Linked DNA regions of Anolis sagrei. The protein of the gene in region 2 purifies or fractionates together with the protein of the main gene of each other region. This does not show direct contact. Links are inferred from orthologs where the notes say so. Each region holds a gene or a part of one and is shown on either strand. Other genes may lie near its edges. The genes, in order: SAMD13 and L3MBTL3.

Region 1 (3,910 bases), on a different chromosome or scaffold from region 2:
AATACAAATATCGGTTCTGGAAACATTTTTCCATAGTTCCAGATTGGTGAGGGTTTTGGATTGTGGCAACAGTGAAGGAAAGTCATTCTGTGCATGTTCAATTTTCTTAATAGCTATCCAAAACTAATGTCTGCTATAGAAAACAAGATTTTGGTGTCAAGCCTGGGATCTGTTTATCTCCAAGGAGAATGAGATTTTATATTTAAGAATGTACAAACACTTAGAATTGATGCATTTAACACTGTTTTAACTGCTATGGTTCAGTGCGCTGGGATCATGGGAGTTGTAGTTGTACAAGGCAGTGACATCTCCGGACCATCCTCTGTTCTGATATCAGCCAGCACGCCAATGCCTTAAATCAAAAAATAGTTTTCTAAGATCTACAGAGATACTCACAGGAACACATCAGCAAGCAAGAGTCCAAAAGCGGCAGGTTAAAACCCGGAACCTCAAGCCACAGCTGATACCTAATGAGAAACCCTCCTGGGCACACAAAAGACTGGGCGACTTAGAAGGCGCTAAACAGACTGTTCTTTGGCACCACGAGATGCAAGGCCAAACTTAAGAAATGGGGCCACAAAGTGGAGTCCACGACATGCAAGTGTGGAGAAGAGCAAACCACAGACTACCTTTTACAATTGCAGCCTGAGCCCTGCCACATGCACAATGGAGAACCTTCTTACAGCAACACCAGAGGCACTCCAAGTGGCCAGCTACTGGTCAACGGACATTTAGCATAATGCCAAGTTTTTAAAAAAATATTGTGTTTTTTTTTAAAAAAAAAATACATTACAATCATACCCCTGGTTTGCTTCTGATACAATAAATAAATAAGGTCTTTAGATTTACTGTCAGAGTAATGGTGCCTTCCCAAACTTTAACTCTCAGGAATCCACAGCATTGAGCCATGGGAGTTAAGTGGTATAAAACCGCATTAATTCTGCAGTGTAGATGCACCCTAAGATACAATGGTTTTCTTTTTTCTTTTTCAAAATAATTTTTGCTGACACAACAATAAAGACACAACAGTCTCATTCAGGCCCCTTCTATACTGCCATATATGCCAGGATGTGATCCCAGGTTATCTGCTTTAAAATGGATTATATGAGTCTCCACTGCCAGATAGTCTGGGATAAGCAGATAATCTGGGATCAAGTCCTGGGATATAGGGGCAGTGTGGAAGGGACTTCAGTTTGTTGTTCAATCTTGTTGTCAAAGCTCACTTACTAACAAAATGGGCTCTGCATGTTGTTTATATTTTGAAAATTAAAGAAAATCCATTTTTTCATGCCCGAATAACATTCTTTCCATCCTAATGCTTTTCAATTACCACTCCCAGCAATTCCAAAAAAAGTGCCTGGGTGTCCTTAAAAACAGGAAAACAACTTCACCACATGTTGTTGACCTATAACTTGAACACCCACAGACATGGGGCCAATTTCTGTGTTTCATGCTCTCCATCTGAACATATTGAACTTATATCTTTTGGGGGAACACACAATGCAAACAGGACAGGACAAGAAGGTCCAAAGATATCCTATTTGTGGGCTGTTTGCTACACTTTACGCCAAAGAAGCTTGCTTTCCGTCCATCCTTGAAAATGTTGTGAAAGATGGGAGTGTGAGAAAGAAAACACAATGTTATATTTGATTTTATTTCAACAAGAGACAGAAATGAGCCTATTTAGAAAAGTAGAAACACCGAGTGCATTGTCCTAAATCCCTAAACAGCGTTGAGCGAGGAAGCTGCAAAGCTTTTAACATCATTCCATGTGTCAGAACCGTCTTGTGATATGACAAAACTTCCCACATACCATTAGAGGCAAACTTTTTTTAAAAATGCAGCATTTCAGCCAGGATTTGGAAACGATTTTGAATAAACAAACCCAACACTAGCATTCCTCTCTCTGCAATGACAAGGCGAAAGGGAAACATTGAAAATAGTGAAAATATACATATGACACACAACAGTTTGCTTTGCAGGAATCGGAAATAGCTGGTGTTTCAATAAATGGATGGAGAAATCACTAGTTGTGTACTGTGTGTATGTTTTCCCTCCCAGAGTGTGCAGTAGTCCTCTCCCTGAATATGTTTCTTGATCCCTTTGGGAGCATCCTCAGTGCATCCCTCTTGCTCTCCCAGTTTTTGGATTGGCTCAATTTCCCTAAACACACTCCAACACAAAACATGCCTTTGGAAAGCAGCTGCTTCAAGGAAGCGCTCACCACTAACTAGGTCAGGAACAAAAGATCTGGGGAGCAAAATCATGGAAAGGAAGGGAAGCAGCCCACATTGCCCATGGAGCATGTCGCAGAGCTGACTTACCTTTCTTTTTCCTATACACACGCATATATATACATTGCCAGCAAAAGCCTGCCTTCCTCTGAGCACAGCAGCAGCCACATGCAGAGTTGCAACCAGAACCAACCACAGCCAATCAGCAGCCAGCTGTCAGGGAGGAAAGCATGCTGGGAGACGTAGTCCCCACCTTGCTAAAAACTAACCTGATGGGAATAAAATGTCTTTACAGATCCTCCATGGAGATCCTCCTGTTTGACAGCTGGATTTGCAGCTTGGAGCTGCCATTCCCAGCACACACACACAAGCACATGCTTTTGCATGCAAAACTCCTCTCAAACCAGTGGGAGCAGTTTCTCAGCAGATGCTGAAAAGTCAGCACATTCCTCTGCATCCCTGGTGAATGATTCGCCATCGATTTGGAAAAATGTACATACATTTCTTTTTTTTCTGAAATTAATTTTTATTGAAAGATTATATGGTTACATAGAAAGTGGGGGGATATTGTGAAGAAGATAGAAAAGTAGGAAATAAAATAGAGTAGGAGAAGTTGCCGGGATGTAGAGAGGAGGAAGGAGAGGAAAAAAATTAAAACATTATTTTAGAAAATTATTATTATTTTTTGAAAGATGCTTAACCCTATGGTGTGCAAAACCCCCTTCAATAAAAAAGAAGGGAGAAAAAAAAGAAAAAAAGCAAGGGAAAAGGAAAAACAATAACAAAAAAGGGGTATTTATTTATTTATCGTGTCAGGGGCAACCAGACAATTGTATTATGTTTCTAACAGAACAAAACAAACAGACAAAACACAAATTTTGCAAGATTGGTAGTTGATTCAATGTCCTTTGACCAGTATCTGGCCACTTGGAATGCCTCTGGTGTTGCCGCAAGAAGGTCCTCCATTGTGCATGTGGCAGGGCTCAGGTTGCATTGCAGCAGGTGGTCAGTGGTTTGCTCCTCTCCACACTCGCATGTCGTGGATTCCACCCTGTAGCCCCATTTCCTAAGGTTGGCTCTGCATCTCATGGTGCCAGAGTGCAGTCTGTTCAGCTCCTGTGTGCCCAGGGGGGAGTCTCTCATTTGGTATCAGCCATTGGTTGAAATTCTGGGTTTTAGCCTGCCACTTTTGGACTCTCGCTTGCTGAGGTGTTCCAGTAAGTGTCCCTGTAGATCTTAAAAAACTATTTCTTGATTTAAGTCGTTGACGTGCTGGCTGATACCCAAACAAGGGATGAGCTGGAGATGTCACTGCCTTGGTCCTTTCACTACTGGCTGCTACTTCCCGGCGGATGTCAGGTGGTGCAATACCAGCTAAACAGTGTAATTTCTCCAGTGGTGTAGGGCGCAGACACCCCGTGATAATGCGGCATGTCTCATTAAGAGCCACATCTACTGTTTTAGCGTGGTGAGATGTGACGAAAGCTGACTGGCACAACCTGGGGATCACAACCAGACACAGTGAAGACATCTGCCCTTGCGCTCTGCTACTCTGCTGCTGAGTATGCATGCCCAGTGTGGAACACATCTCACTAAAAAAAGGGGTGACTTTGATCTAGTCTTTGAAGATCTCTTTTTTTCCTGCATAAGTGTTGAGGATTTGCTTCCCTATTTTG
Region 2 (3,910 bases):
GGACGCATTTTAACGCGCCTCTCCAGAATTACACTAGAGAGACAAAGAAGGCGTCTCTCTCTCTCTGTTTTCCAAGCCTGGTGAAAGAATTATAGAATCAGAGTTGGAAGAGACCTCGTGAGCCATCCACTCCAACCCCATCCTGCCAAGAAGCAGGAAAATTGCAATCAAAGCACCCCCGGCAGATGGCCATCCAGCCTCTGTTTAAAAGCTTCCAAAGAAGAAGCCTCCACCGCACTTCTGGGGAAAAGTCCCCTTTGGGAGAGGGCTGTGTTGTCCCAACTTTGTGAAGGGACCCCTTTCCAGCTTCTTCCTTTCTTCCTGGACACATTGACCCTCTCAAAGATATGGATCTGGGGTCTTCCAGAATCCTATTGGGTCGCTTTGGGAAAGGGCTCCCTTTGGAGAGAGTCCTCGCTCTTCCCAAACTTGAGTGAAGGAAACCCTTCGAGAGTCTCTCCCCCCCCCCCCGAACATATTTGAGCCTGTGCCTCTCCAGCCTCCTCTCTAGGGGAGGAAATACAATAAGAAAGGACAGTGGCATCAAACTACAAAGAAAGAGATTCCATCTGAACATGAGAAAGAACTTCCTGACTGTGAAAGCCGTCCAGCAGTGGAACTCTCTGCCCCGGAATGTGGAAGCTTTTAAGCAGAGGCTGGATGGCCATCTGTCGGGTATGCTTTGAATGCTGTTTTCCTGCTTCTTGGCAGCGGGTTGGACTGGATGGCCCATGAGGTTCTCTTCCAACTTTACGATTCTAAGCAGGGAAGCGGAAAGATTCTGGAAGGTGGTCCCCCTTTTTGGAGACGGCTCCCTTTCCCAACTTTTTTCTCCCCCAACTGTCGCGCGTGGCTTTTCCCCGTCCTCCCTCCGCCTGAGTGTGGGGGGGTGGGGAGGCTTGAAGGGCTGCCTTCCACCCAAACCCACGCTCCTGAGATAGAGATACAGATATATGCACGCAGCAGGAAGGCCTGGCTTGGTTTCCAGGCGCGCTCCGTCCGCACCCGCGGCGAGCGCCTTCTTCCCCCCTTCTCCTTCTCCCTCCCCTCCAAAAGGAGAACAAGTGTCGCCCAAAACGCACTGTAAACCATTGTTGGAGTGGCCTGCCTCGTGGGGGAGGGGCACTTCTGTGGGCTTCACACGAGAGAGGGAAAGAGAGGCGGAAAAAGAAGAAAAAGAGAGAGAAAGAAACCCCTTTGCGCGCGCACGCACATCTCCAGGAAAGAAGAGAAAAAGGAAAGGAGGAGGAGGAAGGAGTTGCTGCTGCCAGGCTTTGCAAGCTTTGCGAGCCGCGCTTTCTCCTCCGCTCCGCGCCCACCGAGGGGGTCTGCCTCTACTTTAGAATGGAGAGCCAGAGGGAGCCCAGGGAGGGAATCCATGCCGGGGAATCCGGGGGGAGAGAGAGAGAGAGAGAGTGCCGAGGAGCGCCTCCCGTCTCGGCGCGCGCGCGCTCGCGCGTGTGTGCAAAGTTTGCCCAAAATGGCGGAATTGGGGGGAGCTCCGTATGATCCTGGTGTGTGTGTGTGTGTGCGTGTCCGTATATAATAATAATAAATGGGCAAGGCATTGGAGGGAGGCACACACAAGGCACCGAGGGAGAAAGGCAACGTAGGGAAAAGGAAAGGAAAGAAGGAAAAGAAAGAAAGAAGGCGCTTGTTTGGAAATGCAAGAGAGCAATAATCCCCGGCAAGCGCAGCAGCGGCGGCGGCGGCGCACAGGCCTTTTTTCCCCCTCTTTCTCCTCCTCCTCCTCCTTTCCCAAAACGCAAACGCATGCAACCGGTACAAGGGAAGGGGAGAAAGTCCACCTCCCTTCGGCCTTCCCTTGGCTTCCTTGCCCGCACCCCCCTTTTTCTTCCTTTCCACCCAAACCCAACGCCCCCCAGCCTTGCCTGCCGCAGCAGAGACCCCAAACGACACAAGGCTCTGGCTTAGCTGCGCCTTCCTGTCTCCCCCCTCCCCCCCCCAAAAAACGCCTCCTTAGAAGTGTCAAAGGAAATCAAAGGAAAAGAGGCGTTTTTCTAGTCTTTTCTCCCTCCCCCTCCCCCATTGAGGGGTTTTGGGGGGTCTGGGAAAGGGAAAGAGAAGAGGCTGAGGAATGAATGCGCCCCCCAGCCTTGCCTCCCTCCCCCAGCCCCCCCAAACCCCTCCTTTGGGGGTCTGAGCGCCGCTCAAAGCCCTCTTTTCCGCCTCTCTTTTGTTCCTCCTCTTTTGCCGCTTCCTCCCCCGCCACGACCCACCCGCGGGGCCACTTTCTCCCTCCACTTGGGCAGAGGTTGTGGAGGAATGCAGGCCCCTCTTTCCTCGTCCTTCCCAGCCTCCCTTTCCCCCTCCTTTTCTTCCCACCCAAAGGCGGTGCGCGCTCGCTCGCTCTCCCTTGCTCGCTTTCTCCCTTTCTTTTTCCCCCTCCAACTTTCATCCCTTTCCAACCCACCCTCCCCACCTCCCTCAAAAGGTCGCCCCCCTACCCTTCCCCCAGGCGGTTCCTTACCCACCCCAAAATCTCTCTTTCTCTTTCTTTCTGTCTTTCTCTCCGTCTTTCTTTTTTCCTCTATTTTCCTCCGTCTCTCGAGTAAGTCCTGACAAATATGGTCCAGGGCTGCGGGCGCCACTGAGCATGCGCCCGCGGAGTCAGGGCTGGGAAAAGGGGAAACTGCTGCTTTCTGCTGCTGCTGCTGGAGACGGAGGCTGGGCGCTGCTTGCTTTGGCCTCTCCGCGGCAAGAGGCGCCCAGGGTCTCCCGCCTGCCTTCCTTCCTGCCTGCCTTCCTCTTGCCTTCTTTTCTGTGCCTCGGCCTGGCATCCCAAGCCAGAGCGCCCCTTCTCCCATCTTCAGGGAGCACCTCCGCCAACGCGGAGAGAATAATAAAAGGAGGCAAGGGCCAGGCTTGGGGGTCTCTGATATCCTTAGCGACCCCCTCTTCTCCCTCTTTCTTTCTGCATTCTTGTTATTAGTACTAGTCACTTCCAGGGAATGAAAAGGATGGGCACGTCTACACTCTCCGCTTTGGTCAGTTCTGAACCTGCATAGGTGGAAGTGATTTGGGTGTGAACACCAGCCTTTCTACACTGGCCATTCAAGGCAGTTTCAAACCAGCATTGGAGAAAGTGGTTTTGTTGCAAAGTTGATGATGACATAGGAACCCTGAACGGTTCTGGCCTTGCTTACCTATCTGAAGGTATCACCTGCTATGAACCATCCTGAAGTCTAAGATCGAGGGGAGAGGCCCTGCTCTCAGTTCCACCATCCTCGCAAGCACGAATTGTGGAGACAAGAGACAGGGCTTTCCCAGTGGTGGCCCCTTGCCTGTGGGACTCTCTACCCCAGGGATCCTCAAACTAAGGCCCAAGGGTCGAATATGGCCCTCCAAGGTCCTTTACTCAGCCCTCGCTCAGGGTCAACCTAAGTCTGAAACGACTTGAAAGCATGCAACTGCAACAATCCTATCTCATCAGCCAAAAGCAGGCCCACATTTCCCACTGAAATATATTTGTTAAAATTGTTCTCATTTTATTGTTTTTAAGTGTTTTTTTGCACTACAAATAAGATATGTGTAGTGTGCATAGGCATTCATTCATACTTTTTTCAAATTACAATCCGGCCCTCCAACAGTTTGTGGGACTGTGACCTGGCCCTCTGTTTAAAAAGTTTGAGGACCCCTGCTCTACCAAGTGACATTAGACTGGCCCCCTCCCTCTTGTCCTTTCGAATGGCAAGAGGGAGGGGGCTAATTTCATGTAACACAAGCTTTACTGGATACTGCTCCATTTTGAAATCCACTTTGGTTTAATTTTTAAGCCCATATATCAGGGTGAGGGTAGTGTCGTACTTCTAATGGTGTGGCTGCAGCTCCCACGCATCCTATCTAGCAGATGCAAAGATGAGAGATCATGGGTGTTTCAGTCCACCAG

Evidence for each region.
Region 1: the proteins of L3MBTL3 (region 2) and SAMD13 purify together in Homo sapiens (affinity purification with mass spectrometry; 3 studies listed by BioGRID and IntAct, counting the BioPlex papers as one, with this or other methods). This does not show direct contact. The link is inferred for Anolis sagrei from reciprocal best matches to the Homo sapiens genes L3MBTL3 and SAMD13.

What each region holds. Positions count from the first base shown.
Region 1 is NC_090024.1:155,386,610-155,390,519, forward strand, and holds the start of SAMD13 (sterile alpha motif domain-containing protein 13), read right to left. Parts: upstream 2,587-3,910; 5' UTR 2,504-2,586; intron 2,423-2,503; exon of another isoform or gene 2,325-2,422; intron 1-2,324.
Region 2 is NC_090021.1:83,146,730-83,150,639, forward strand, and holds the start of L3MBTL3 (lethal(3)malignant brain tumor-like protein 3), read right to left. Parts: upstream 2,673-3,910; 5' UTR 2,496-2,672; intron 1-2,495. UniProt on the Homo sapiens protein: Is a negative regulator of Notch target genes expression, required for RBPJ-mediated transcriptional repression. It recruits KDM1A to Notch-responsive elements and promotes KDM1A-mediated H3K4me demethylation.